2 linked regions of the Macaca fascicularis genome follow. The main gene of each other region encodes a partner of the protein of the gene in region 2 in a complex. Links are inferred from orthologs where the notes say so. Each region holds a gene or a part of one and is shown on either strand. Other genes may lie near its edges.

The links.
Region 1: GTF2F1 (region 2) and POLR2C share a complex: the UniProt entries of both Homo sapiens proteins name them as parts of the TBP-based Pol II pre-initiation complex. The link is inferred for Macaca fascicularis from reciprocal best matches to the Homo sapiens genes GTF2F1 and POLR2C.

Annotation. Positions count from the first base shown.
Region 1 is NC_088394.1:53,561,266-53,565,868, reverse strand, and holds the start of POLR2C (DNA-directed RNA polymerase II subunit RPB3), read right to left. Parts: upstream 2,950-4,603; 5' UTR 2,906-2,949; coding exon 2,820-2,905; intron 2,611-2,819; coding exon 2,561-2,610; intron 1-2,560. UniProt on the Homo sapiens protein: Core component of RNA polymerase II (Pol II), a DNA-dependent RNA polymerase which synthesizes mRNA precursors and many functional non-coding RNAs using the four ribonucleoside triphosphates as substrates.
Region 2 is NC_088393.1:7,161,028-7,163,747, forward strand, and holds part of GTF2F1 (general transcription factor IIF subunit 1), read right to left. Parts: intron 2,138-2,720; coding exon 1,953-2,137; intron 524-1,952; coding exon 370-523; intron 289-369; coding exon 227-288; intron 139-226; coding exon 19-138; intron 1-18. UniProt on the Homo sapiens protein: TFIIF is a general transcription initiation factor that binds to RNA polymerase II and helps to recruit it to the initiation complex in collaboration with TFIIB. It promotes transcription elongation.

The sequences.
Region 1 (4,603 bases), on a different chromosome or scaffold from region 2:
GAGAAGCACTTAAATCTGCTACCTGTGCCACCACCAAATCCAAGAACATGAACTATTTGAGCACTTCAAAGTCAGGGAAAACCTCACAGAAGTAACACAGACTTATGGGCCATACCTATATTTTAGGATATAATGACTGGACTGCCCAACTTAGCACTTTTTAAACATTCAACCAACAGACTTTTACTGAATTCCTTTAACGCACAAAGCATACTAAATATAGAACCCAATCCCTAGCAGCAATGAGCAGGTAGGAGGGTAAAGACGGTATTATCTATCACACACGCTTGACTTAAACACATATTTATTCATTCATAAACATTTGCATGGAACCAACTAAATCCAGGAATCAAATGGCATTGGAGCCCAACTGCCAAATGAGGGACACAGACACTAGGAACAGAGGTCGGAAGAGGACCTCCACATGCTAGGCCTCCACCTACTCTGTCCTGCTATGCTTCCCATTGCTTCCCCAGTCCAAGCCAACTAAGAGAACCCTGACCCAAGCTTTTCTGCCTCTTTAATCCCCCGGCCCCTTCCTCCAGCACACCCTTCCCCTCCTCACTGTACAGGTTAAGATCCTCTGTGCCTCCTAAAAACTAAGCCTTGCCTGCCCTCTATGCTACAGGTGTGGCACTCCCTCTCTTTCACCTCCTCTCTCACGAAACTCTCTTCAGACTTCCCTGAAGACACTTGTCATAGTGTGCCTTGTGTCACATTTGTGTATGTTATGTCTATACCCCAAGCTTCAGAAATTCCTTCAGGCAGGTGCTGGGATGTCTTTGTATTCCTAGCTTGGGTGCTCAACATTATTTGTAGAACTGAATTTGTGGGGAAAGAGGCATTTAGACTCAGAATGGCAGGGCTGCATCATGAAGTACAACTCCCTCACCTGACTCTTGATGAAACTGAGGTCCAGAGACATGAAGTGATTAGTCAGGGGGAGGTCCAGCACTCCAAGCTGAATTGAAGAAGTGACTGGGGGGCCGGGGGTGGTAGTGGATAAACTACAACGTTCTCTTGCCTAATCATTTGGCTTGCTTATTTCCTTAAAAGTCTAAATATTTGATGCCACATATTTCTTTTGCCTAACCCAAACTCTCTGGACCTGACTCTCGGAAATGCTTGAAGTATTTCATACAAGTATAATCAATGCATTAAGCACCTGGAGCAAAGTGGCTGGAACCAGACCAGAAATTGATGTTCCCTCCTCTAAGAGCCAACTGCACCATAGCTATGCTTCTCCTGAACTACTGATCAGTCTACCTTGCTTTAGTGTTGTCTGTGGATTCATCTCTCCCCCTGCAACCTCACTGTGGACTCCATGAGGGCAAAAACCATGTTCTCTACAGCTTTGTATTCCCAGAGCTTACCACCATGCCTGCCACTTACATGCTCCATAAATGCTGTTGAAGGAATAGATTAATAAAAAAGCCATCTACCAGCACTGAGCACTCACTAAACATAAAGCACTTCTATGGATTACCTCACTTAATCCTTAACATTACCCTGATAAAGATCATTAGTGGCTGAATGTTACAGATGAGGAAACTGAAGTACGCAGAAGTTTAATAACTTGCCCAAGTTTCTCAAAAATAGTAACTGATGCAGCCATTAAAAAGAACGAAATCATGTCCTCTGCAGCAACATGGACGCGGCTGGAAGCCACTATCCTCTTTTTTATTTTCTTTTGTTTGAGAAGGAGTCTCAACTCTGTTGCGCACGCTAGAGCGTAAGAGGCATGATCTCAGCTCAATGCAACCTCCACCTTCCGGGTTCAATCAATTCTGCCTCAGCCTCCCCAGTAGCTGGGATTACAGGTGTGCACCACCACACCCGGCTAATTTTTGTATTTTTAGTAGAGACGAGGTTTTCCCATGTTGGCCAGGCTGGTCTCGAACTCCTGGCCTCAGGTGTTCCTCAGCCTCGGCCTCCCAAAGTGCTGGGATTACAGGCGTGAGCCCGGCCTGGAAGCCATTATCCTAAGAGAATTAACACAGGAACAGAAAACCAAACACCGCATGGGAGTTAAAACTGGGCACGCATAGACATAAAGATGACAATATAGACACACTGGTGACTACTAGAGCAGGGAGGGAGGCAGTGGGGCTAGGAGTAAAAAACTACCTATTGGGTACTAGGCTCACTACCTGGGTGAAAGGATCATTCATATCCCAAACCTCAGCATCACGCACTATACCCAGGCAACAACCCTGCACCAATGTACCCCCCTGAATCCAAAATAAAAGTTGAAAACATTTAAAAAACTTTTGTGACAATAGTAGTGAAAACAGTATTTGAACCCAAGTCTGCACACTGTTAAACCCATGCTTCTCAGCAATGCATACGCAGGACAACAGTGGACCTAAGTGGTCCGTGGGTGCCAGGGAGGCGGCCACTGGGCCAAGGGCACAGGGTATGGTCAAGTCTCCAGCAATGCACTTTTCTCAGCACTACCACCCTCAGCCCGAACCAAGGACTGGAAGGAGCCCCAGGGAGTGTGGGTGGAGAGCGGGGCAGGAACCCGTGGGCCCGGGAACGAGGAAGGGGGGTCGCTTACCTATTATGGGCACCTCAGCGATGAAGACCCTCCGAATCGAATTGGCCACCCTGAAAGACGAAAAGCCAAGAGGCGTGAAGGCGCTGCAGCCTCGACAGGCTGGGCCCGCGCCGCAGGCTCCCAAAGCTAAAGCCCTGGCGCAGGGGGGCAGCTCTGGAAGGACATCACCCCCACTCCACCCCCGCTCCCTGCCCCCGGGGCCCCAGCTTGGGCCTCCCGGCGCCCCAGAGCCGCCAGCCTCTTCCCTCGGCAGCCTTACGCCAGGTCGGTGTTCTCGATGATGAACTTCACATTCTCGTCAGTGAGCTCAGTGATCCGCACGGTGGGCTGGTTGGCGTACGGCATCGCTCCCTGTGGCCGCCAGCCTCCGCGTCAGCTCCGCGGTGACTGCGCCTGCGCCACCGCCGACACCGGAAGTCAGTCAGCGTGGCCTCCGCGAAGACGGCTCACAGCGCCGCCTGGTGCTCGGAGGCCGGAACCGCCGAGCGTCTTCTACCGCCTCCTGCTTTAAAATGTACCGGATTCAGCTATCTCGGAGGGTAGTTTGGCAAAACACGCGTACGTCCTTGACTTAACAGTAACATTTCTAAGAACTCATACTGCAGAAACACTTGCAGTTGTAAACAAAGATACGAGTGCAGGGACATTCATGGTAGTACTGTTTGTACTGTCCACTGATAAGAGACCTGGTGAAGTATACACACGTAGAATATCATGAAGCCCTTAAAAAGAACTTGTACATCTACAGAAAAACAAAAGTATATTTTAATATGAATGCATATTTTAGGAAAGTATACCTGAATTATAAGTAAATACCCTTTCCCTTGCAGTCTCAAGTATGGACCATGCACTTCTGAAAACTTCAGGAAAAGATATAATGTTCTTTAACCTAATGCTTCCTCTGCAGTCTGTGTAGCTGCGGTGGGTGAGTGGGAGCTCTTTGTCTCTGCATCTCCAGTGCCTCGCAGTGGGCACCATGTGGGGTGCATGCTCAACCAAGAACTACTGAAGTCCCCTAAACAGACTGGAGAGAGTCTCAAACTCTCAATGGGCCTCAAACAAAGTGGCGGCTGCTCCAACAGACAAAAGCTCTAAAATAGAACTTGACAGGAGCTACATTTAAGAGGTGGGAGAAGAGTAACCAGATAAAGAGTTTGCCTTTGCAAAGACTGACACCTCTTCCTGAGACAGAGGGTGGGCACTGATGGAACCCTGCTCCATAGCCTGTGTCGTCTCTGTAAATTAAGAATTATGGTTGTCTGCTGAGTGTGAGATGGATGCTATGAAGGAAAAAGGAGAATGCAATGAAAACTGGAACAGCTACTGCAAAAACTTCACAGGATGTCAAAAGATACAAGGAATGAAGAGAGGTACAAAAAAGATCCAGTGGAAGACCCACAAGAGATCTGAAATTCAATTAGTTGCTGACTTCCCCCAATAATATTTAGCTGACTTAGGCAGAAGAGAGCAAAGCAGAAAACAGAGCTAACCAGACATGCAAAGGGAACCCAGCCAGTGTACAGGCTGAGAAAATTACTGGGGCTAAAGAATGTACCACTGAAATCGTCAGACAAGGGCAGCCAAGAGAGCTAATGGTCTGTGGGAAGGCTTCTGTTACCCCTATTTTACTGATGGGAAGACTTGAGCCCAGAAACGCAGAGGTACCATAACTACTACTGTGTACTAGGCAGTGGCAGCGCCAGAACACAGGTCTCCTGGCTGCCAGCCTCAAGCCTCTTCCATAACACCTCTGTCTCCCTCTGGGGTCTTGGATACCTATCATGGTTGATAAGCAAACTAACTACACAACAGGAAACTACTTCAAACATATTTATTATTTTTAGACTCAAAATACACTAATAATCCTGCGATGCATGCTGGTGTCATATGACACCAGGCCTGGGATCACACCTCTGTCCAGCAGGCACTTGTCTCGGGTGAGGCAGTTTTCTGAGGGGTTTCCCAGGAGTAGCATCTCAGGACACCTGAGAGGGAGGGGGGTGCAAGGAACACCTCTGTGTGCACACGCCTGTGCTGTGCTGG
Region 2 (2,720 bases):
GGGCCACACCGGCCGCACCTTTCCTGCGCTTCTTCTCCTGCGGGGTGGGCGCCTTCTTCTCCTCCTCCTCCTCCTTGTCCTCCTCGGGTGGCTTCTCCTCCTCACTCTCCTCGCTACTGTCACTCTGCTCATCAACACCTGGGGGGACAGGGTATGAGCAAGAGCAGAGACGCACTGCCCGCATCTCCCCCCGCATCTCCCCGGGGCCCGCCCAGCCGCCGCCTACCCTTGGGCCCCTCCTCCTGCTGGGGCGGCTTGGCCTTGCTCTCAGGCTCGTCCTGGGAGCTGCTGTGAGACAGGGGCGGCAGAGGGTGAGTGCGCGCCCGCAAGGCCGCACGGGGTCTCGCAGCCGCCTCGCGTCGGCCTCACCTGGAGCCATCCGACATGTAGTCCACCTCCTGGCCCTCGAAGTCCCCATCGTCGCTGTCCTCGAAGGCCTCGTCGTCAGAGCCCTTCTTCTTCTTCTTCTTCCTGCCACCCTTGGCCAGCGGCACCTTCTTCTTGGCCTTGGGGGCTCTGCCGCCTGGGAAGGGAGGAAAGGAAGGAAAAGGAGGGGGAGGCAGTGGGTATTTTGTGCAGTTTTGACATCCTGGGGGCCTCACTGACTGGGGAGACTGCCCCACCAAGGCCAGCCCAGGAGCTCAGCTCTCCTAAACAAACTCCTGGTCCAGACCCCACACCCCAACCCACGTTCTCTAACGCTCACAGACCACTCCCCACTCCCAGACCACCCCAGGCGAGGCACCTGATAACCAGGGACAGCCCCTACAGCCCAGAGCGCACAGGAATTATTGAAACTGGCCAACCCAGAGTTGCAGTTTCTCATAGGAACCCCCGTAAAGACCTCAGCCAGGCCAGGCGCGGTGGCTCATGCCTGTCATCCCAGCACTTTGGCAGGCTGAGGCGGGAGGATGGCTTGAGCCCAGGAGTTTTCAGACCATCCTAGGCAACATAGTGAGTGAGACCCCAGTATCTACAAAAAATACAAAAATTAGGCCAGGTGCTGTGGCTCACACCTGTAATCGCAGCACTTTGGGAGGCCAAGACAGGCAGATTACCTGAGCTCGGGAGTTTAAGACCAGCCTGGCCAACATGGTGAAACCCCGTCTCTGCTAAAAACACAAAAATTAGCCAGGCGTGGTGGCGCATGCCTGTAATCCCAGCTACTTGGGAGGCTGAGGCAGGAGAATCACTTGAACCTGGGAGGCAGAGGTTGCAGTGAGCTGAGATCGCACCACTGAGTTCCAGCCTGGGCAACAGGGCAAGACTCTGTCTCCAAAAGAAAAAAACAAAAATTAGCCGGGCATGGTGGTGCATGCCTGTAGTCCTGTAGCTACTCAGGAGGCTGAGGTGGGAGGATTGCTTGACCCTGGGAGGTCAAGGCTGCAGTGAGCTGTGATTGTACCACTGCACTCCAGCCCTGGTGAGAGAGAGAGATCCTGTCTCAAGAAAAAAAAAGAAAGAAGGGCCACAGCTCAGTTCTCCCGGGCTCTGGCTTTGCCTCTTGACTGATATCACTGCTCCTCCAGGCAGCCTCGCCTGACTCTCATTTTTTTTTTTCTGAGACGGAGTCCCTCTCTGTCGCCCAGCCTGGAGTGCAGTGGCGTGATCTCGGCTCACTACAACCTCCATCTCCCAGGTTCAAGCGATTCTCCTGCATCAGCCTCCCGAGTAGCTGGAACTAGAGGCATGCACCACCATGCCCAGCTGATTTTTGTGTTTTCAGTAGAGACAGGGTCTCACTGTGTTGGCCAGGCTGGTCTCGAACTCCTGATCTCAGGTGATCTGCCTGCCTCAGCCTCTCAAAGTGCTGGACGACAGGCGTGAGCCACCGCACCTGGCCCCAGGTGCCTCGAATTCTAGGGCCACTGTGAGCGACGGTAGACTGTGCCTTCACTGGCACCGCCTGAGCAGGTACCTCTGTAGCCTAATGCCCGGGCCCCCGTGCTCACCCTCCTCACCGCTGGCGTCACTGGCATCAGACGACATCTCCAGGTCATCCTCCAGGTCGTGGATGCGTAGCTCGCTTGCCTTCCTGCGGCCGCGTTTCTCCTTCTCCTCCTCGTCCTCATCCTGGTCCTGATCCTTGAGCCGCCGCTGCTGCATGATGCTGAAGTGGTTCAGCACCTTGTTCCTCCTGGGGGCCAGGCACAGGGTGGCTCATGCTGGGCCTGGCACCACCCTGCCCCTGCGCTTGCAGGGGGCGAGCCCTCGGGCACCACCCACACAGCCTTCAATGTGATGTGGACCCCGGGGACTTGGGCTGTGGCCCAGGACTCCCTGAAACCACACGGATAGAACCGGCCCTTCCTACCTTCCCTTTCCGCCCCGAGTCCCTCAAAGACAGGGTCCCCACGTGCTGCTGGAGTCTCAGCACCTCCCTTGGACTCAGAGTCTGGCCCCAATGCAGTCACACTGGTTTCTTGCTATTTTTTTTTTTTTTTTTTTTTTTGAGACAGACTCTCGCTCTGTCGCCCAGGCTGGAGTGCAATGGTGCAATCTTGGCTCACTGCAACCTCCGCCTCCCAGGTTCACACCATTCTCCTGCCTCAGCCTCCTGAGTAGCCGGGACTACAGGCACACACCACCACGCCCAGCTAATTTTTGTAGTTTTCATAAGGACGAGGTTTCACCATGTTGTTCAGGCTGGTCTCAAACTCCTGACCTCAGGTGATCCACCTGCCTCGGCCTCCCAAAGTGCTGGGATTATAGGCATGAGC